Oryctolagus cuniculus: one gene and its partners. The protein of the gene in region 1 interacts with the protein of each later gene in a pairwise test. Links are inferred from orthologs where the notes say so. Each region holds a gene or a part of one and is shown in the gene's direction. Other genes may lie near its edges.

The links. The genes of interacting proteins can lie anywhere in the genome.
Region 2: the proteins of DMD (region 1) and TRAF3IP1 interact in a two-hybrid assay, tested with the Homo sapiens proteins (2 studies listed by BioGRID and IntAct). The link is inferred for Oryctolagus cuniculus from reciprocal best matches to the Homo sapiens genes DMD and TRAF3IP1.
Region 3: the proteins of DMD (region 1) and CTNNAL1 interact in binary tests that used the Homo sapiens proteins (3 or more experiments, as listed by UniProt). The two-hybrid records come from large-scale screens. The link is inferred for Oryctolagus cuniculus from reciprocal best matches to the Homo sapiens genes DMD and CTNNAL1.

The regions. Positions count from the first base shown.
Region 1 is NC_091453.1:19,806,443-19,814,049, reverse strand, and holds the start of DMD (dystrophin), read left to right. Parts: upstream 1-3,005; 5' UTR 3,006-3,791; coding exon 3,792-3,822; intron 3,823-7,607. UniProt on the Homo sapiens protein: Anchors the extracellular matrix to the cytoskeleton via F-actin. Ligand for dystroglycan.
Region 2 is NC_091434.1:2,097,608-2,105,490, reverse strand, and holds the start of TRAF3IP1 (TRAF3-interacting protein 1), read left to right. Parts: upstream 1-3,684; 5' UTR 3,685-3,801; coding exon 3,802-3,924; intron 3,925-7,883.
Region 3 is NC_091432.1:212,714,332-212,721,971, reverse strand, and holds the start of CTNNAL1 (alpha-catulin), read left to right. Parts: upstream 1-3,441; 5' UTR 3,442-3,572; coding exon 3,573-3,713; intron 3,714-7,640. UniProt on the Homo sapiens protein: May modulate the Rho pathway signaling by providing a scaffold for the Lbc Rho guanine nucleotide exchange factor (ARHGEF1).

The DNA.
Region 1 (7,607 bases):
CTTATAAATATCCTTTTTAAAGGATGTAAAGACCTGTTACAGACTGGGAGAAAATATTTGACAACCATGTATGTAACATAAGAATCATATCTAAATTATATAAAGCACTCTCATAACTCATTGGTTAAAAAAAAAACAAACAATGCAGTTAGAAAATGAACAATACATATGAACAGATTTCACTGAAGAAAATATTCAGGAAGAAGGAAATAGGAAGTTAACAATCAATGGGAGTAAAATCTCACCTAAGCAAGCTGAGTAAATTCTAGAACTCTGCTGTACAATATTACATCTGTATTCAATAACATTGGATGTACACTTAAAAACTGTTAGAGGGTATAGCCATAATAACATTTTATTGCAATAAAATAAAATTATTAAAATAATATATTAAGATAGCAAATAAACCATGTTTAATGCCAGTACTCATTAGGGAAATTCAAATGAAGGCCATGGTGATTTAACCCTACATGCTTAAGGCTAAAACAGAAATATAAAAGTGAGAACATCAAATGCTGATGAGAGGGTAGGCATTTGACCTAATGACTAAGACACTATGTGACATATTTCAGGGCCCAGGTGATACCTAGCTCCACACCTGACTCCATTTTCCTTCTAGTATGGACCCTGGAAGGCAGCAATGATGGCTTAAGTAGTTGGATATGAGAGACCTGGATTGAGTTCCCCACTCTGGGCTTTGGCTCCTGGCCCAGGGGCCAATGGATATATTTGAGTGAACTAGTGGATTGGGGAGTTTGTTCTTTCTCTCATAAATAAATACTTTTCAAGTGCTGGCAAGGATGTTAAGAAATTGGATCACACAAACATTGCCAGTAGAAATGTAAAATGGTAGAGTCACATTTGAAAGTGTTCTGTCGGTTTCTAAAAAAAAACTAAATATATACTTCCCATAAGGCCTAGTAGTAATACTCTTGAGCATTAGTTTAGATAGATGGGAACAAAAACCTGTACATTATTATTTTTGAGCTTTATTTGTAGTAACCATAACCTAGAAAAAAGTAAAATGTCCTACAATAGATGATAAAACTTTCATAGAATGGAATGTATGATAAACCATAATAATACTAAGCAAAACAAATCAATCTAAAAAGGTAATATGCTGAATAATTCCATTTATCTAACAATTTTGAAATGATAAGCTTATAGTGGTAGAGAACAAATTTGTGAATTGAATGTCAGCATTTAGGACAATTGGTAAGGGTTGTTAGTGTGACTTAAAGGGTTTGCATGAGGACTGTCTTATGGTAATGGAACAGTTGTCTACTTGACTGAGATTGTGGCTACACAAATCTGTACTTGTGAAACTATTATTTATATATATATATGCATATATATAATATTAATGTCAACTTGCTAGTTTTAATATTGTATTACAGTTATGTAGGACGTAGTCTTTGGGAAAAACAGGGGGGAGGTACATAGGACCTCTATACAATCTTAGCAACTGCCTAGGAATCTGTAATTATTTCAAAATAAAAATGAATTTTTCACAGTCCTTCTCTGCCAGTAGTTCAAAACAGGAACTTGAGCAAGCTCCTTGACCAGTCATCTTTATAATGGAGCTCCTAAGACCTAACTGATTTCATTATTGTGATGAGTAAATGAGAGAAATAAATGACAAAAGCCACAGAAAATAGTGACAAGGTCTGTACAGGAGTTCACTGTATTTGGGTTAAATGTTTTCTTATATGCCTTTCTCTTTAAAACCTTAAGGAAGGTATATGTATTCCACACTATGCAGAAGTTATTACAGATGCCAAATAAATTCTGATTACTGAATAAGAATAAAAGATAGTTAAAATGTATCAGGCATTCAAAAGCTTTCTTTACCCAGGGCACATTTTTGGTATATTTGGAACTACAGTTATTTTTAGAAACATATGCTTCAGGGTTTCTCAAAGTTGATGAAGCATTAGAGTCACCTGTAAGACACAGAGTGTTGGCTCATACACCAACAGTTTCTGATTTTCCGGGACTTGGGTATACTTGCTTTCTTTAAAGTTCACATGTGATACAGAATAGCCTAGTTTGTGAACTCAAGAACTATACATATGCCTTGTCTAAACATGAGTTTATAGAAAACTCAAAGTACAAGATGTAAAAGAACTTATACTCTGGACAACATTGTCCGTGAAAGTTCAGGGAGATACTTATGCTAATGAGCAGATATGAATCCAAATCAGCCCCAAAACATTTTTTTTCATTTTGTTTTAAGAAACTTTTGCTTATATGCATATCTCTACACTAAGGAGAGAAAATGAGATGGCCCATGGAAATGGTGTTTTTAATCTATTTTTAATCATAGTGATTTACATAAAATTACCTACAATTAAAATTAGACTTCATGTTTTACTTTATATAGAATTTGACAGGCAAAATGGCAGTATTATAATGATGGCATCCTAAATATAAAATTTATAATTGACTATTAATATAAACATTATTGTCTGATTCAATGTGTCATTTTTATATTTATCCTTTATTTATTTCTGTGCCAAGCAATTGAAAGCTTGACATAGAAAAATGAGTCTGTCACTTTAACAAATGGTACTATAAAAACACTCAAACAAATAGTTTTAGTAGGGATTATTATGATAGCAACACGAATATTTTTCTAGAAAGTGTTACCAATGTTTCCTATAAATGTTGGGCTCAGTTGATAAATAAAAATAGTAAGGAAGAAGATGAAGTCTTCCTTTGGCAGTGAATGATTTACAAACATGCTGGATGACACATTGTATTGGATACAGGCAAAAAAAAGGCTCTGTTGAGAAGCATTAAGTGATCATTAGTTAAATGCGTAAGAGAATGATGTTTTAATAATTTGCACCAAAGAAATTTAACAAGGAGTCATTTGTTAGTAAAGAATTCTTATCATAACCACAATTAAAATGCAGCATTTTAAAAGCGGTTTTGTTCCCTTCTAAGTGCTCTTTATTTTAGCAGAAAACTTGTTCCATGAGACTAACACACATTCTGCCTTCAGAACTTAGCTGCTACATTCTGCTGTTGCTTCTCTTATTCAGACTGTTGCAATCATCCATATACAACTTTTGATTGGATCCTGATGGTAAAAATTAACTTTGGTAGACAGTGGATACATAATGAATGCATAGATCATTCTGGGCATACCGTTGTATTCAGTAGAGTGAAGTTTTGGGGGTTCTTGGAGGGGAGAAAGAAAATCATTTAAAAGTTCATTCTGGATCAGAATTTTCAGCTCTGTTGTTTTAGAAATTTATGTAATGTTCTAGAAAATATTGTTATGGTTTGTTACTGAAGGCTTTTTGTCTTCAGAAGGCTTTGAGAGCAAGTACTTTATCCACTGTGCTATTCTGGTTGGATACTGATCACAACACAGTTGAGCATTATTTGAATTCACTGGGCTTTCCATGCTGGGAGCACAACCTTATATGTAGTGTCCATGGGCAGTCCTATTATGGGAAACCAACTTGAGAGAAAAGGCGGGTCACTTGCTTGTGCGCAGGTCCTGGAATGTGAAATATCCAAGGGCCTCTACAGAATCCTGGCATCAGTTACTGCGTTGACTCACTCAGTGTTGGGATCACTCACTTTCTCCTTACAGACTCAGAACTTGGAGGCAATTGCCTTCAGAGAAAAACAAATAGGAAAAACTGAAGTGTTATTTTTTTTGAAAGCTGCTGAAGTTTATTGGCTTCTCGTCATTCCTAAGCCTACTGGAGCAATAAAGTTTGAAGAAATTTTTACCAAGATTTTTATCACAGCCTTGATATATACTTTTTTTCCAAATGCTTTGGTGGGAAGAAGTAGAGGACTGTTGTAAGTACAAAGTAACTAAAAATATCTCTTACTGTGGTGTAACTTTTTGTTTGTGATAATCTCAATGATTAAGCAGGTTGATTTTAAATTATGGCAGCTGCTCGTGAATAATCTTAAATGTTCTATATACTGTATATATATGTATATATACTAAGGTGTATGTACTTCCCATTGGGAAAACTTTCAATAAGAAATGAGGTATATTTGGGTTTTTTTCAATATAGGCAAAAACATCTTTCTTCTTTAAGAAATCACTAGATTAACAGAAAATGTATAACAGGTCTGGAGTATTAGTACAGAGCAGTTGATTTCTGTGAAATAGTTTCTATATATATGAGTTATTATTTTGATTATTTAATACTTGTGTATTTAGTGGTGGTTCCATGTAGAGTAGTGACCTGACATATATTCTCAGTGAATTAACTGCTTTGTTGGAATGATATACAGGCCTAAAGATTAGAATAATGTTATGTGGCATACCTTGGTGGGGGGACAAAGAACAAAATTGCGTTGTGATGGATAAATGACAGATGCGAAAATATTGATAAAGGTTTAATTTCCTTTCTCACATTATATTTAGTGTTTTGAATTCTTTTTTATAGCATGAGAGATTTTTTTTTTTTTCAAATAAGTATGTGATCTACACTGGCAAATGACCAGTCTCTTGATGAGAAAACAACATAAAAACTTGAGGGATGTCTCATCATATTTTGTAGAAAACTGATCGTGTTGTTTCATGACTGTTGTGACCAACTAATTCAGTAAATATTTTTATTAACTTCTTAAAAAAAGAAACTATTTTGTTTATGTTTAAGAAAGTCATGATGACTAATGAAGAATTTAAAAATTAACTATGGCACAACAGTAAAAATGATATATAAGGACACTGTGTCCCAAAGAGGTGGTTGAAGGAGATTATCTTTTTCTTTTCCTGCCTTGACATGTGAATTATGGTCATTCTGAAATAGATATGAAGGTAATGTCTATAATTAACAATGAAAGATTAAATCTCTCCAAATAAGTAATAATATATCACAACTTCTACAAAAAGAGTCAGAAGTTTTGCCACAGAAAATTTGTGAAGTAAATAAGCACCATTCATTTCTTAATTCACATTAGATGGTACTAGATTTCATTAATATGACTTTTTTCATATTGTGTCCTTCAAAAATTTCTGTGGTGAGCATCAGCATCACTTCCTGATTGAAAAACTATTCCATCTAGTAGCATTACAAAAATACACATAGCTACACATGTATACAAATGCATATTTCCCTTGCTATTTCTAGTTCTTTCATATCATTAATCTATCAATATTGTCAAACTTATGATTGATTATCTATAGCTAATAAAATTAAAATACACCAATACATAGAGATATTTGGAAAGTATCACAAATATGCAATTCTGGAATGAAGTAAGATAAATCTATACTCTTCTTTGTCATAGATATTCAAATAACTTTTTAATACATTAGAATTTGAAAAGTTGACCTTAAAAAAAATGCTCCAAAAGGAGCATTTTAAAAACAGCAAGTAATACCTTTGCAACCTGACAATGAGTTTAAGAGAAAATAGAAATATTATCAGGGTTATATTATACATTAATTTTTCTATTTGACAACATGCTATTATTTGAGTGTTTAAACATTTGAATCCACGTTGTAAAATTGCCTTAGTATGAAAAACTTAAAAGAGCACATTTGATTGCTTTTTGACCAAAGTAATGGCCCTTTAAGAATATCACTGTAGTAATACACATATTGTTTGCTTTTAGAATTACTCAAATAATCCATTGGAAACAACTGCTCAAATAATTAATTGCAAATAGACATTTCATTTGAATTTTTAAATGATGCAAAGCATCATGAGATGTAATAAAATCACCTTTTAAAATTTCATTTGCAAAGCCCTCTTAGGGCATTTAACTATGAAAAAGAGGTTGCTGAACTGAATTGATAACATAGTTTTTAAGATAATAATCTTTTGGTGTCTCTTACATGGCATAACATTTTGGAAAATACAATAGAGCATGTTATTTAGATGTTACTCTTTTTTTAAAGGATGACCAACTGAGTTTTGCAAATTTAAGAAAAAAAAATTCTAGTTTGGACAGAGCTATCAATACAGCTTCCTCTTTAGTACTGTAGTATTTATTTGAAATCCTTGTAGTCCACCATATGCTACATGTGAACAAATTGTCAAGTTCTTAACTACTTATGTGATTTAATAAAATAGATTAAAATCTTTGTCTTGGAAAGTCAAGTGCTTTTTAAAATTCTATTTTATCTTTCATCAAGACTTTATCTAAACAGTAAAACAGACTGATATCCTAACCTCTCCCTCAACTTCCAACTTCTACTGTAATATTTTTACTTATTAAAAATAATTTTTCATGTTTTCATCAAACTATTCTTTATTTCACATCTACAAGTTATGTGTGAGTGTGGTGTGAGTATATGTGTTTATATATATGTAAATGCACACAATTTTAAACCACAAAGTTCTAAGTTTCAGAGGCTGAACAATGATTGGAAATTTCTTTCTTTTTAAAAAAAAAATCTATTTACTTATTTGAAAGGCAGAGTGACAGAGAGAAGGAGAGACAGAGAAAGAAAGATACCTTCCATCCACTGGTTCACTCCCTAAAGATCTGCAACTGCCAGGTGTGGGCCAGACCAAAGCCAGGAGCTAGAAACCCCATCCTGCTTTCCTACATCCCAGGTGCATGAGCAGGGAGGTGAATCTGAAGCGAAGCAGCCAGGACTAGAAACTGCACTCCAGTATGGAATGCTGAGGGCACAAGCAGTGGCTTAACCCACTGCACCACAACTCTGGCCCCTAGAAATTGATCTATCTTTAAGGGTAATTTTCTTTTCATGTTTTGGTGATTTTTTTTATGTTAAAGACACATCATTTTTAAATAAATTGACAAATAATGCTAATATATGTCCTCTGTCCAATAGAACATAATTAATCAAGAAGGAACAAATACAGGACTTGGCGGGGGTGAGATTATACAATTTGGAGGGGGATGAGCTGTTTTAAGAAAAATAATAAATAAATTATGAATAGCAAATCAGCTAGGGCCTTGGGAAGGGCCCACATAATTAAAACTTTAATAGTTTCATGGGAAATCACCTATGTTTGAAGAGACTCATGGAGTAAATCTTTTCCCAGTTACATTTTAAAATAAAATTAATACTAGTTATATTTCTTTAAAGCATATATTATTTCTCAAAGACAACCTTTTATTTAATGCAGATTAGAGAGTTGAAAGAATTTATAATGATAGGAATTTGACATTTCTGCCTTTCATTATGAAAATATACATTGATTAAAGTGATGTCAAACTCAGTTAATGGAGGCGGTGCAGTTATTTGAGATATACAGGGTATGCAATTTGAAGCCAAGCCAAATCACAATGACAAGGAATAATGATGACCTTGGTTTATTTTTATACAGCACATTCAGGTTTTGATTGGATTCAGAGAGAGGCAATGGTTTTCTTTCTCACACTGTTCTGCTGTCGTCCTCGGAGGTTTGTATTCTGTTATCAAGGCAGTTGGTTCATATTGGAACATTTTTTTGGGAAGGTCATAGGACACAGTATGGAAAAAAGACATTCACTGAAACCAAGTTCAATATTAGAATTTATGAAAATGTTTCTCTTTGAGTAGTATGTTCTACACAGAATACTGTTCTTCAAAAAACAGAAAAAGAAGCAAACATAAACTTTGTGGCCTTTACTGCCCCACTTAAAACAGCCATGAAACTTCTTTGCTT
Region 2 (7,883 bases), on another chromosome or scaffold:
TCACTAGGCTAATCCTCCGCCTGTGGCGCCGGCACACCGGGTTCTAGTCCTGGTCGGGGCGCCGGATTCTGTCCCGGTTGCCCCTCTTCCAGGCCATCTCTCTGCTGTGGCCAGGGAGTGCAGTGGAGGATGGCCCAATTCCTTGGGCCCTGCACCCCATGGGAGACCAGGAGAAGCACCTGGCTCCTGCCATCGGATCAGCGCGGTGCGCCGGCTGCAGCACATCGACCGCAGCGGCCATTGGAGGGTGAACCAACGGCAAAAGGAAGACCTTTCTCTCTGTATCTCTCTCTCACTGTCCACTCTGCCTGTCAAAAAAAAAAAAAAAAAAAAAAAGAACCAGCGCCAGCGCCCCAACCGAGACTAGAACCCCGAGTGCCGGTGCTGCAGGCGGAGGATTAGCCAAGTGAGCCACAGTGCTGGCCCACAGAATGGCAATGCTGGTTTTATATTTTTGCTATGTATATGAAGAATTGTGTACAAATTGAAATGTCTGTATATTGATTCTCAGCACCAATAAATTTCAATTATGAACAAAAAACCCAATGATCACTGGAGGAAAGCTAATTAAGCCATAACGAGACACCATAGCCACCATAGCCACCATAGCCACCATAGCCACCATAGCCACCTAGCACACTCACTGTTACAACTAAAGGTAGACTGGCAATACCAGATGTCGGCAGGGACAGCAAACACCTGGACTTTTCTCCCCCTAAAGGTTTACTTATTTATATATATATATATATATATATATATATATATATATAGAGAGAGAGAGAGAGAGAGAGAGAGAGAGAGAGAGAGAGAGAGATATCTTCCATCCACTGGTTCACTCCCCAGATGGCTGCAATAGACAGCGCTGGGCCAGGTCAAAGCCAGGAGCCAGGGTTTTGTCTGGGTCTCCCGGGCGGGCAGCAGGGGTCCAAGCACTTGGGCCATCTTCTGCTGCTTTTTCCAGGCTGTTAGCAGGGAGCTGGATTGGAAGAGGAGCAGCCAGTGCACAAACCAGCACCCACATGGTAGGCAGCACCGCAGGCCACTGCGCAGCACCGGCCCCACCACTGGGCATTTCCTATACAAGTGGTGTGAAGGGGTACAGGCGCAGCCACTTTGAAAACAAGGGCAGGCGTGGGTGTTCAGCCCGGTGGTCAGGGAGCCTGTGTCCCATGTCGGGGAACCCGGGCTTGAGTCCTGCCCCGGCCCCAGCTTTCCGCTAAGGCAGATCCTGAGACCTCGGTGACGACTCAGTCATTTGATTCCTGCCACCCACACTGTGTCTCCAGCTCCCAGCTTCAACCTCAACCCAGCTCCGGCTGTTTCGGGCATTTGGGGAGTGAATTAGAGGATAGATGCTATTCCATCTCTCCAGTAAGTAAAAGATTTTAAAAAACATGATATAAAACATATTCTTCCAGTTCAAGAGAAATGAACATTTATATTGATGCAAAGACTTGTATGTGAAGTCATAGCAGCCTTATTCATTAACAACCAAAAACTGAAAGCAATTTAAATGTTCATCCACAGGTTAGTGGACAAAGTGCTATGAGTTATGAAGTACAACTCAGTCACAAAAAGGCATGGTGCAGGAATATATGTAAGAACACGGATACATTTCAAAAACATTATAAGAAAAGGAGTAAAATCCAAAAAAGACTATGCAATTTATAATTCCATTTAAATGAAACTCTGGAAAATGCAAAATTATGACAGAAACCAGTTGCTTGGGGTTGGGGGTCAAGGAGTCGAACTACACATGAGCAGGAAGAAATGTTTTCAGGGGTCAAGGGCTGTTTCTTTTTTTGATTGTGGTAGTGGTAACATTATTTAAAAAAACTATCAAAAATTTATATATGTAAATAATTATGTATGCAAGTAAATAATAATCAAATATACATGTTAGGGAAAAATCTCCACAAAATGGGAAATGTCTGGCAAATCAATGATAAAAACAGAATCTTGAAGGCAACCAGAAGCATAACAGAAAAACGGGAATAAGAATGACGGCAGACTTCTATCCAGAAACCATGGAAGCCAAAAGCCAACGCAGCATGTGCTGAAGGCACAGAGTCAAAGAAGAAACCGCCAGCCCAGAATCCTGCGCTGCTGGGCCATTCCTGGAGAGAATCCTTGGAGTGGCTGCAGGGGGCCGACAGGGAGAAGCTCGGAGACGCGGGAGGGCGTGTGAAGGCTCCACGGGCCCGCCCTGGGTGGACAGTCTGGGTGACTGCTCCCCACTGGGGGACTGTCCACCCAGACTTCCAGACAAGCAAACACAGGCGCACCCATTGCCAGCGGAGCCGTGCAAAGAGAAATATGAGACGGGGTTCTCCCAATGACACTGCCCTGCTTATTAATATTTTTCAATATTAATAATTTTTCAATATGAATAAGCTGTGGGCTCTTGCCCTGTGTTCAGAGAATTCTGAATATGGGCCCAAATAGACCAGACAACAGGGTAAGTTTTAAGGATTTTATTCAGTGAGAGAAATGTGCAGGAGGGTGAGGGCTTCATTTCGGAGAGCAGACGTCTAGAGGCTAAGTTGTGTCCACAGCAAGCAGAGAGCAGGCCAGGAGCCAGCCCCGGGAACGGGCACGCGCCCCGAAGGCAACGGCCAACAAAGGAAGGGCCCAGCGAGCTCCGGGCCTTTTAGCCACTTCCAAAGGCGCGTGGTCACGTAGCCTGAGTGGCAGTGGGCGCACAGGTGGGGGCAGGAAGGGGTGAGCTCACAGGGGTGTGAAGACGTGGTCTTCCAGCTCGCCAACTAGCCGATTTTCTCCTGTCTGCCTGCCCACGTCACCAACAGCAGGCCAGGATGCTTCCATCGAAAGGGCGCGGGGAAGCGGAAACCCGCACGAGCCTCACGGACACTTGCTGCCCCGGCACCGCGGAGACTTACAACCAATTTCCCAGGCTCCATCAGCTCCCGGGGCCAGCCTGGCTGTGTCCATCAGCTTGCACGATCCCGCTTCTCCTGGGCCTCCGGCCCACGCGCACCTGCCGTTTCTGGCACACGGACACCAGGTGAAACTTTAAAAGATACATTATTCGGTCTCTCCATTCACTGGCTCACCCGCATACGCCCGCAATGGCTCCATCCGGGTCTCCCACGCGGACAGCAGGGACCCGGGCACCGGGCCGTCCCCTGCCGCCGCCCAAGGTGGACATCAGCAGGGAGCCGGACTGGAACCGGGCAGTCCCGCCCCGTGCCCGCCCCGGGGACGTGCAGGTGCACACGCAGAATGGCAGACCAAGGTAGAGGCTCCACACAGACCCCGGAGCCCGCAGCCGCCGCGGGGCGAGCCCGGGGCCCCGTTCGCTGCCCACCTGCCCCGCGGGATGCGTGGCGGCGGCGGCAGGGTGGAGGTCTGAGGGAAAACCGGCCAAGGACCGCGCAGGACAGGGCACTGCCCGCCGCGCGGCTTTCGGGATAACCGCGTCCTGGCTCCGCCCACGAGCCAGAGCCGGCGAAAGCGCTCGGGAGCTGAGAGGCCCGGTGTGGAGCGCCTTCCTCGGACGGTCACCGCGGACGCGGCCCCGCCGCCGGCCGCTGGACAGACCCCGCTTCCCGGCGTCCCGCGCGCGGGCGTTCGTTGCCAAGGCCGCGCCGCCCTAGCGACCGGGCGCGCCGCGGCCTCCGCGCAGGCGCCGTGGCGGGCCCGGTGCACTGTGGGATGGGGACCCGCGCTGCGCGTCGCGGCGGCACCGGGCGGCGGGGCCGGCGGGGCCAGGGAGCCGGGCTGAGGCTCGGCCGGGCCGCCTGAGGGGCGCGGGCGGCCGGACGCGCGGCGGGCGGCGCCATGAACGCCGCGGTGGTGCGGCGGACGCAGGAGGCGCTGGGGAAGGTGATCCGGAGGCCGCCGCTGACGGAGAAGCTGCTCAACAAGCCCCCGTTCCGCTACCTGCACGACATCATCACGGAGGTGGGCGCCGCCGGGGCCCGGTGGCCGGGGGGGCCGAGACCCGGGCCTGCGTCGGGGCCGGGAGGCGGGGCGTGGGCGAGCCGCGGCGGCCCCTGCCGGGACTGCGGCCCCTGGGCGCCCTGTGCGGGGCGAGTGGGACCGCGCCGTCCCCGGTGCGGGGCGAGCTGGGACCGCGCCTTCCCCGGTGCGGGGCGAGCCGTGACCGCGCCTTCCCCGGTGCGGGGCGAGCCGTGACCGCGCCTTCCCCGGTGCGGGGCGAGCTGGGACCGCGCCTTCCCCGGTGCGGGGCGAGCCGTGACCGCGCCGTCCCCGGTGCGGGGCCGGGCTGTGACCGCGCCTTCCCCGGTGCGGGCCGGGCTGGGGCTGTGACCGCGCCTTCCCCGGTGCGGGCCGGGCTGGGGCCGTGACCGCGCCTTCCCCGGTGCGGGGCGAGCCGTGACCGCGCCTTCCCCGGTGCGGGGCTGGGGCTGGGGCTGTGACCGCGCCTTCCCCGGTGCGGGGCCGGGCTGTGACCGCGCCTTCCCCGGTGCGGGGCCGGGCTGGGGCCGTGACTGCGCCTTCCCCGGTGCGGGCCCGGGCTGGGGCCGGGCCGGGGCCGTGACCGCGCCCTCCCCGGTGCGGGCCGGGCTGTGGCTGGGACCGCGCCCTGCCCCGGGGCCCGTGGAGACCGGAGTCAGGGTGTTAGGATCCCCACGCTGCAGCCGCCAGGGGCGGAGCCCTGCGGGTGGCGGTTAGCGCTGCTCCGCCGGCCGCCTTCGAGTGAGGCTGGTGTGGGTGTGGGTGTGGGTGCGGGCTCGGTCCGGCCGCGGTGAGTTGAGCGCCCAGAAGTCCCCGGCGCAGGCTCCCTGCTCAGGGAGTCTGGGATGGCTCCTGGCAACCGTCAGGTGTGTGGCAGCGCGGGGGTGGGGCCGGGGTGGGGGTGCTGTTTCCATGGCGCACCGAGGGCCCTTGGGAACTGGAGTGCTCTGGGGCTAGGAAGCAGGTGGACTCTGGGGCGGTGTGACCATTGGGGGCCCTCAGCTCACTCAACAGCTCGGCCGCCCGACCTGCACAGACTTTACCTTAGCTTGTAAGTGTGCCAGCGCGTGTCACCAGCCGGGAGCCCGCCTGCGTCCCCAGGGCCTGGCCTGGACGGTGTCTGGGGAAGGGGCCGGCTGTGGGGGAGCCCCATGGCATGGAGGCAGGGTGCTGCGCCGCCTTCCCTGGGGAGGTGGCAGGTGCTGTTCCCTGCCCGGAGGCCTGGGTGGGGGCACTGAGCCCTCCACTCTGGTCTGCTGTTCGTCCTGCTGCTCCCTGAAGTGCAGAGCTGCGGGGGGAGGTGGCTGGTGACCGCCGGGTTGGGAAGAGGGCGCTGCCCGCGGCGGGAAGAGGGACCCGACTCCGGAGGCCAGGAGGCTGTGTGGGGCGGGTTATGGAGGCCAGGACGGGCTGTGTGTTGTGGGTCCCGGGGGCCAGGACGGGCTGTGTGTTGTGGGTTATGGAGGCCAGGACAGGCTGTGTGGGGTGGGTCACGGAGGCCAGGACGGGCTGTGTGGGGTGGGTCACGGAGGCCAGGACGGGCTGTGTGGGGTGGGTCATGGGGGCCAGGACGGGTTGTGTGGGGTGGGTCACGGGGGCCAGGACGGGCTGTGTTTTGTGGGTTATGGAGGCCAGGACGGGCTGTGTGGGGCGGGTTATGGAGGCCAGGACGGGCTGTGTGGGGCGGGTTATGGAGGCCAGGACGGGCTGAGTGGGGTGGGTTGCCTGCTCCCAGTCGCCTGCTGGCCTGCGTGTCCCAGCCCAGTGCTGAGATGCACTCTGCCGCCTTGTTGGTCTGGCAGACGGCGGGCACGCTGGGACAACAGGGTCGGCCGAGCGCGGGGAGCCGGTGTCCAAGGGGCCTGCTCGCGTCCTCGCGTTCGCGTTTCAGCGTCTGCAGGAATCCTCGCTGCCCACAGTCCCTGCTCAGGGTTCCAAGGGCGGGGCCCGGTGAGGCTGTGCCAGGAACGGGCACGCAGGTGCTCCGGGCATCCCGCCTGTGCCGAGGACCGCGGCCGTGGCTCTCGGGACTTGGTGTGCACTGGAGACTGGGTTAATCCGTAGCCAACTTGGTGCAGATTGGGCTGTAGCTTCATTCCCGAGGAGGCTGGCGTTAGCGTGGGGCTGTCCTGGTGCGTGTCCTGGAGCAGGTCTCAGAGTAAAGGACTCCTGACGGCCGAGCAGCGACCCGTCCCCCCGCATACCACGTGCTGACGTCCGAGCAGTGACCCGTCCCCCCGCACGCCACGTGCTGACCAGGGCCGAGCAGTGACCCGTCCCCCCGCACGCCACGTGCTGTCCAGAGCCGAGCAGTGACCCGTCCCCCCGCACGCCACGTGCTGACCAGGGCCGAGCAGTGACCCGTCCCCCCGCACGCCACGTGCTGACCAGGGCCGAGCAGCGACCCGTCCCCCCACCGCCACGTGCTGACCAGGGCCGAGCAGTGACCCGTCCCCCCACACGCCACGTGCTGACCAGGGCCGAGCAGTGACCCGTCCCCTCCCCACGCCACGTGCTGACGTCCGAGCAGTGACCCGTCCCCCCACACACCACGTGCTGACCAGGGCCGAGCAGTGACCAGTCCCCCCGCACGCCACGTGCTGACCAGGGCCGAGCAGCGACCCGTCCCCCCGCACGCCACGTGCTGACGGCTGAGCAGTGACCCGTCCCCCCGCATGCCACGTGCTGACGGCCGAGCAGTGACCCGTCCCCCCGCACGCCACGTGCTGACCAGGGCCGAGCAGTGACCCGTCCCCCCGCACGCCACGTGCTGACCAGGGCCGAGCAGTGACCCGTCCCCGCCCACACCACGTGCTGACCAGGGCCGAGCAGTGACCTGTCCCCCCGCACGCCACGTGCTGACCAGGGCCGAGCAGCGACCTGTCCCCCCGCACGCCACGTGCTGACGGCCGAGCAGTGACCCGTCCCCCCGCACGCCACGTGCTGACCAGGGCCGAGCAGCGACCTGTCCCCCCGCACGCCACGTGCTGACGGCCGAGCAGTGACCCGTCCCCGCGCACACCACGTGCTGACCAGGGCCGAGCAGCGACCCGTCCCCCCGCACGCCACGTGCTGACCAGGGCCGAGCAGTGACCCGTCCCCCCGCACGCCACGTGCTGACCAGGGCCGAGCAGCGACCCGTCCCCCCCGCACACCACGTGCTGACGGCCGAGCAGTGACCCGTCCCCGCGCACACCACGTGCTGACCAGGGCTGAGCAGTGACCCGTCCCCCCGCACGCCACGTGCTGACCAGGGCCGAGCAGTGACCCGTCCCCCCCGCACGCCACGTGCTGACCAGGGCCGAGCAGTGACCCGTCCCCGCGCACACCACGTGCTGACCAGGGCCGAGCAGTGACCCGTCCCCCCGCACGCCACGTGCTGACCAGGGCCGAGCAGTGACCCGTCCCCCTGCACGCCACGTGCTGTCCAGGGCCGAGCAGTGACCCGTCCCCCCGCATGCCTCGCAGCCTGGTGGTTGGTGTTGGGTCTCATCAGGAACGAGCGCTCCTTGCACCCGCTGTACGGATTGCACAGTGCTCTGCCACGCTGGAAGCTCTGGTCTGAGAGGCCCGGGCCGGGGCGGGGGAAGCAGGAGCTCACCAGCTAAGACTGGTTTTAGTGGTGATGGCGTGTGCAGGTTGTGTGCGGGGCGGGTGGTGAGGGAACAGAAGTGCAGGCGTAGTGAGTAGGGCAGCGGGAGAGGAGGGACTGCTGGCTGCAGTGTTGGAAACACGGGCCGAGAGGGCCCTTTTCTGTCCGAACCTGTCCCCTCCGCGGCGCCGAGTGCCTCTCGTGCGATGCCGGGCGGTCAGTCCTTCCTGTCCTCGGGCCGTGGGGCTCCAGGGCTCCTTACCCGAGTCCGAGTGCCTGGGCGGCGGCAGGGGCCTCGGGGTCAGGCCAGTGTCCCTCTGGCCTCTCCCCAGCACCTTTTCCGGGAGTG
Region 3 (7,640 bases), on another chromosome or scaffold:
ATTTTATCAGTTTCTCATCTTTACACATTGTACTATCAACATAGATTTCATTTTTTAAACTTATTAATGAGAACCTGTAGAAGATAGAGTGTCTGAAGCCACTGAGCAGTTATTTTTTGATAGTTTAGAAACAACAGACTTCTAAATCAAGATGTTCCTTCTGTCTACTGGGGTCACAAAACTTCTGTACCAGACTGGGCTGCTTTATAATTAAGAGAGCCTATCATTTTCTAGAGAAGGAAACAAATTCGTAGGTTCCAGTGGCTTGTCTGACACACAGCCAGTTAGTAACAGAATTCAGAGTAGAGTGCAGGTCTTTCCTCTCTTGGCTGGCTGTTCCACTTCTCTTTACTTTTCCTCACAATTGAGCAGCTTTTGGCAAAATGTGTTTCTTATAGCAGTAGTTCTAAGAAATGTTCATGGATGTAAGAGGAAATAATGTGTGTGGGGGCGGGCAGGGATTCCATGATAAAATTGCAGAATGCTGGGTTTGTTTCTGTAGCACTTCTAGGAGTTTCTGACTTGCTGTTATACCTGGAGAATTTTTAAGAGGGGACAAAGACTTTGTTGATTTAGATGGGTGCCCCTCCTCCTCCTTTTCTCAGAGCATCTCAAAATGCTACAGGTCCTCTGGGAAACCTGGCTGTTCATCAGGTTTACAGCTCTCTTAGAAGACATCCCTAATGGAACTTCTCAAAGGTGTGAATTTACTACTGAGCTACGTGTAATCTGTAGTAAGTCTCAGAGTTTCGTAAGATACCAGAAAGTATGTTTCCTGTTCAGAACTATACTTTAAGAAGTATAGAGATTGTTTTCCACCTATGGTATGTAAAATCAGTATTTGTGTTTAGTTTTGCAAGTTTCTCAAGGAAACTTAGTGTGCAGATACAGTGGTGATATATTGACACCACATTTTAGTAATGCTTTTGTACGGCACTTTATACTTCTCAGACTTTTTCTGGTGACAACCCTCTGTGATAGGCAGTATTATTCTCATCGTACAGATGAGGCACTGGAGGCTCTGAAAGTGTATTTTTGTGATTTTTTTTTTCTCCCAAATTTATACAACAAAATGATGGGGCCAGAATTTGCAGAACTTCTGACTCCAGGTCCAAAGTTCTTTGCTCCTCACTTGGCTTCTTATTATCTAACTTTGTGTTTTTCAAAGGCATGGAGGCAGATCTTAGAGGAAAATCATTTTGGCTTATTACCAAACATCATTTTTTTCAGTAGTGCAGTGACCCAGAAAGTGTAACTCTTGTTGTAGCTGTCCCAAAGAAAACTCTTCTTTGTCCTTTGTAATGGCACTTGATTAAGTGATTGGCATGTATTTCAAATACCATTTGGTTTTAAAACCAAAATTGGATATGCCCTTGTAATTTCTTATGTACCTCTTTGAAAATCTATCGTCTCTATATACTCAGGCAAAAAAGACATGGTTTAAAAATGAAAAAGAATATTCCAATACAACCATAAATATTCCTACACAGAATACTGTTTCTTAGCTTTAACTTGCTTTGACAACCTACTAATGTAACTTCTTTGTAAATGTAAAGTATTTATATTTTGAAATAAAATTACTGGTGTCGAATGAATCAGGTGGTAAACAGTCTTTTCTCTGTTGAGAAACGTGATCTGTAGCCAAACTTCGATGAATACATTCATCTGTCCCTTACCTTTTCCTCTTGATGCCTGCACTGAATTTTTATGGAGTATATTCCACTTCTGTAAGCCATGGTGTGTCTGGGGAGTGAATGCTGAGTATCTTAAAGAGGCCAGCAGGTCCATGGCTGAAGCGGAAGCCCTCAATGCACGGGCAGCAGGAGCCTTGGGGGGAAGGATGTGCTCAGGTGGATGACTGAGGACTAAGAATTGGAGGAAAGTTGAATTAAGGATAAGCAAGCCTCAGTGTGGCTATCTTCAGGACCAAAGCTACCCATGCAGCTCTGGGGGGTGAAACTGAGCTGCCAAATGGAAGCACCACAAAGCACGTTTCGCCAATTTCAAAGAGCTTAGTGACACCTCGCGTGGACAGTCACCAGCTCAATCAATTTGAAAGTAACGACATAGACATGATCTTGCCAAGGTGTTAGGGTGGGCCAGCCACTCTCAGCCTGCTGTCTGCTCTGATGGGTTCTCATTGGCAGATACAGAACTTCACAAAACATTTCTTCAGGTTTCTGCCCCTTGCATAAGTCTAGGACTCCTTCACAAGGCACATGCTTCTGACACCTTCCTTTTCACTTGGCTCCTGGAAACCCACGTAAGCTCAGGGTTGTGCTTGGAGAACACAGATTCCTAGCCTGGCTGGTGAGTTCAGTCAGAAATAAACACTTGGGGACCGGTGCCATGGTGCAGTAGGTTAATCCTGCGGCACTGGCATCCCATGTAGACACCAGTTCTAGTCCCGGCTGCTCCACTTCCAATCCAGCTCTCTGCTATAACCTGGGAAAGCAGTAGAAATGGCCCAAGTCCTTGGGCCACTGCACCTGCGTGGGAGACTGGGAAGAAGCTCCTGGCTCCTGGCTTTGGATCAGTGCAGCTCCAATCGTTGCGGCCATCTGCAGAGTGAACCAACAGAAGGAAGACCTTTCTGTCTGTCTCTCCCTCTCAAAGTCTGTAACTCTACCTCTCAAATGAATAAAATCTTAAAAAAAAAAAGCAGTCCTTTAAAAAAAAGAATAGACACGATGTTTCCATTCAATGAACAGTTATTAAGAAACTGCCTCCGTGAAAAGTAGTTTCAAAAAGTAGTATTGTTGAACAGTAGTTTTATTTTAAATTCACTTTAATTTAAATTCCCTTTTAAAGAGTTAAGTCTAAGCAGCAGCCTGAAAGATACACTGTCTTCTTGAGTACCCAGACATTCCTTGAGTGAGTGCATTATCAAATGTTTCATTTTCAACCCAGCTCAAAGTGTGTTGTGAGAAATGTGCTTAGAAAATGAGCCGGGGGTAGAGGAGAATGGAGCTTCTGGAGAAGCCCCAGGAAAATCGTCCAGATTCCCGCCTGGGACCCCGCAGACCTGACTGCTATGCGGGTTCAACCCCAGTGCAGCTTCCAGAACATTGCGGAAATTCAGATTAATTTAGGAAGAGTCACCTTTCCAGACCAAGAGGTAACTTGACAGGGATGGCTGTTCTTGTCCAGGTGAGAGGCCCGTAGCCAGGTGTCATCTTTTCTCTCCCTACCCTGGCGACAGGTGCTCTGAGCCTCCCCTAGGGTAGAGAGAGGGGCCACAGGGCCTGTGGTGGAGCCATAAGGCTAACAGACCCGGGTCCTGGAGAGCGACCCTAGAAGCAGCACGCAGGGGCGTGGCGGGGCCGGGTAGGCGGGGTGGGAGGGCCCTGGTGGGCGGTGTGGAGGTGGGGGCGGGGCCTCGGGTGGAGGGTAGACGGGATTGGGCCGAATGTGGGCGGGGCCTTCTTGGGTGTGGTGGGCGGGCCTGAGGCAGGGGCGGGGCTTCAGGGCGGGGCCTCGGGTGGCGCGGGTGCGCTGCGGCTGACGGGCGTGCTGGCGGCCAGAGGGCCAGCGGTGGCGCGGAGTCCGGGTTGCGCGTTGCGCCGAGGACCATGGCCGCCTCTCCTGGGTCCGCCGGCCTTGGCGGCGCCGGAGCTGTCCACGGCTCTAGCCCGTCGGGCTTCGCCTTCGACTCGGGACTCGAGATCAAAACGCGCTCGGTGGAGCAGACGCTGCTCCCGTTGGTTTCTCAGGTGAGTGGCGCGCGCCCGAGCGGCTCCTGGTCTCCCTCCCGCCGCGGCCCGCTATGGCGGCGGCTGCTCCCACGACCCGGCCCCCCGGCATCCCGCGTCGGCGCTGCGGCGTGGGTGTCGGTCCCTGGAACCAGGGTGCGGACCTCGCCGAGGCGCAGGGGGAATGGGCCCTCCGAGACTCGGCGGCGGCGTGACCCAGCGCGTGGAGAGCGGGGGCTGTGGGGTGGCGGGGAGAGCCCAGCAGGTGCGCTGCCCGCCCTGGGCCCCGGCGCCCATCTGCGCCGGCCGAGGACGCTGCTTCGCGGGGCGAGCGGCACAGTCCAGCGCAGGGACCCCAGCGTCCTCCTAGTGGCCGCTCCCCAGCCCACTGTCGTCGCCCGTTCGCATCTCCAGTTGGAACCCGGAGGGCCGGCTAGCGGCCAGGGCACTGCCGCCGGCCTCTCAGTGCCGCGCGCTCTCCTGAGGCCTTTGTCCCTCTCTCCGCCTGTACTGGCTCCTGCAGCTCCGATTCACCGGTTCCCGGCCCAGGCCCCTGCCCCTTAACCTGCCTGCCCACGTGTGTCTGCTTTTGTCCGGCCACGAAGTGAGTCCAGATGCCTTTTCCCAACGACCCATCTGGGGCCGTGTGAATTATTGCACTTACCTGTAGTAACTCCAGAGCGGGAACCAGCTCACTGGCCAGCTTCGTTTTGGAAAGTTTTTGTTACTTCATGCTGGGTTGTTCACAGCCCGAGGGCTGGGATTCCTCACCTGGATGCAGGAGGTGCCTGGCAAGCACTGTGGGGAGGTAAGAATGCAGCGCCTGCAGCAGGCGCTGGCCTTGCGTGACTCACACCTTTGTAACTCTTGGTTGACTCACACTAGGATTTTCAAGATTGTAGAGCCAAGAGGAATCTTGAATGAGCTGACTCTAAATTAAAAGATTCTTTGATGCGGCATCTTTGACACCTGGCCACCAATACTCTGCTTCAACATGGTCAGTGATGGGGAGCCTAGAACTGTTCCACAGAAGAGCCCAGCCCGGCAGATGATCGATTGATCGATCGATCCATCCATCCATCCTGGAAATATATATCTATAGCTGTACCTATATAGATAGGTTTATATTTAAATAGCAGTCATACAGGTCCCTTGATTCCTGTTATGCTGATTAAATAAGCAGCCCCATTTTCTCCACCTGCCTAGCATGGCTAACAGAGCAGTGTTGAGTGCCCCTACCCCCTGCCTATGTTTCTGAGAGAGACTCCCCTCCCCAGCAGTGGAGAGGAGTGTTGTGGTCCCTAAGTGTTGTCTCCTCTGCCCCTCCTCTCCCAAGAACCACCAGCAGAACAACCACCATCCAACACAGAACTGCTGGAACAGTTTTAAGAGACAAGGAAGACAGCAATAGAGTTCAGGTTTACAGCATTTAACTTGCTTATTTAATAGTCCATGTGCTAGACCATGTTCTGAGCACTTTGTAAATATAAACTCTTTAACACTCAGTAACCCTGTGATGTTACTATGAAGGGTCTTCAGAAATTTCATGGAAAATGGATTTTGAAGAAAACTGATTTCAAAAATGTTTTACACCAAAAGACTCATCTGAAAAAAATTAATTTGAGAGGCAGAGAGATGAGAGAGAATGTGTGTGAGATAGAGACCAACTGACAGACTAAGAGACCTCCCATCCACGGATTCGCTTCCCAAATACCTACAAAGGTCATGGCTGGACTGGGGCTAGGGATAGGGCTCCCACAGGGATGACCTGAACCCAATTACATGGGCTATTACTGCTGCCTCCTCGGGTCTGCAGTACCAGGAAACTAGAGTCAGGAGCCTGGACCAGGAATTGAATTCAGGAAATGTGATATGGAACGTAGGTGTCTTTTTTTTTTAAGATTTTATTTATTTACTTGAAAGAATTACAGAGAGGCGGGGGGGGGGGGGGAGGGAGATCTTCCACCATTGGTTCACTCCCCAAATGGCCGCAACAGCTGGAGCTGAGCCGATCCAGAGCTGGGAACTTCTTTCTTGTCTCCCACATGGGTACAGAGGCCCAAGCACTTGGGCCATCTTCTACTGCTTTCCCAGGCCACAGCAGAGAGCTGGATTGGAAGTGGAGCAGCTGGGACTCGAACCAGAGCCCATATGGGATGCTGGTGCTGCAGGCAGTGGCTTTACCCTCTATGCCACAGCACCACCCCGAAATATAGGTATCTTAACTGGCATCTGAAATGCCAGACCAAATACCTACTCCAACCTATCTTTTCTTTTTTGTACATTTTTTTGAAGTACCATCATATGTTTATTCTCTATGATATGGATGATGGCTAAGTATCTTTTTAAAGTGGTATTTGAACCCAGGCAGTCTGTCCCAGAGTCCGTTCTCTGAGTTACACTGTACATGTATATTCTATGTCTCCTCTAGGGGTTAAAAGCAGTTATGAGGTCATCTAGTAGTAGGTACAGAGAGGAGTTTGCACGGTGGAAAAATATGCTGAAAAGTTGCAATCTGGAGAATGGTAACTTTTTATGCTTTCACTGCTAAAAATGTATCAGTCCTGAAGCTCTGCATTATGTAATTCTGGAGCAAAAGAGGGTGGGGAGAGTAGGAAACCCCAGGAAGAAAAGTGTAAGTCCTTGCTGTAAGTTTACTAGAGGTCAATGCCAAAGGGGGAAAATAGCCACCCCCTTAAGCTCTTGTTCAGGGGCACAGCGAAGGTTCTGCACTCATACCTTATGTATCCATGACTGTATCTCTAATGCAATACCATAACTGATATTCCTAATGACTGACTGTACTTAAAAAGAAAAAGAAATTTTGCCTACAATCAAGAACCGTATAAAATATAGTCAGAATATTCTGTTACCAAAGCAGGGATATGTTGCATATAATCTGTTAGGACTTTAAAACTGCAGCTCTGGAAAGCCCATGTGTTCAGAAGGCTCATTTTCTAAGGCTGCTACATCATTGTACAACTGCTCCTCTTTCACCGTTTCATCACTAGGGTTGCCTAAGGATTTTAAGCAAGGATTTTATGCTCATGAGTTGTTGTCCTTTGAGGGGCTTATATTCTAGTTGGTAGAGAGGATGTGTATAGAGTAACTCATGCCAAGTATCAAATGAATATCATCAATAATAAGTGCTATAAGATCTCACGAAAGCCATGGATGAGTCAGGAATGATACCACAGAGAAGGCAGGGTCCTCCTCCTCCTCTTCTTCTTTCTCCTCCTCCCCTCCTCCTCTCCTGTCCTCCTCCTCCTTCCCCCTTCTCCCTCCCCTCCCCTTCCCCTCCCCCTCCCCCTCCTATTTTAAGATTTATTTATTTACTTGAAAGTCTCCATATGGCTTCAATGGCCAGTGCTGAGCCAGGCTGAAGCCAGGAGCTTCATCTAGGTCTCTCACATGGGTAGCAGGGGCCCAAACACTTGGGCCATCTTCTCTTCCTTTCTCAGGCCATTAGCAAGGAGCTGTATCAGAAGCAAAGTATCCAGGACTCCAAGAATATCTACAGAAAACTATCAGTTAACACCATTGCAACAGACAAGTTTAAATATTTCTCATAAACTCAGAAGCAAGAGCAGGATGCCTGCCTTTACAGCTTCTGTTTAACGTTGTACTAGAAATCCTAGCCAGAGCAATAAGACAAGGAGAAGAAATAAAAGTGTAAAGATAGGAGATGAAAAATTAGAAGTCTCATTGTGATGTAATCTGTATAGAAATCTCAAAAGTTCAAGACTATAGGTTATTAAAGTCAATTGCAGACATTTTTCAAAAGAGGAAATCCAAATGGCCAACAGACACATGAAAAAATGTTCAAAATCACTAGCAATCAGGGAAATGGAAATCAAAACCACAGTAAGGTTTCATCTCACCCCAGTTGGAATGGCTCACATACAGAAATCTACCAACAACAGATGCTGGCGAGGATGTGGGGGAACA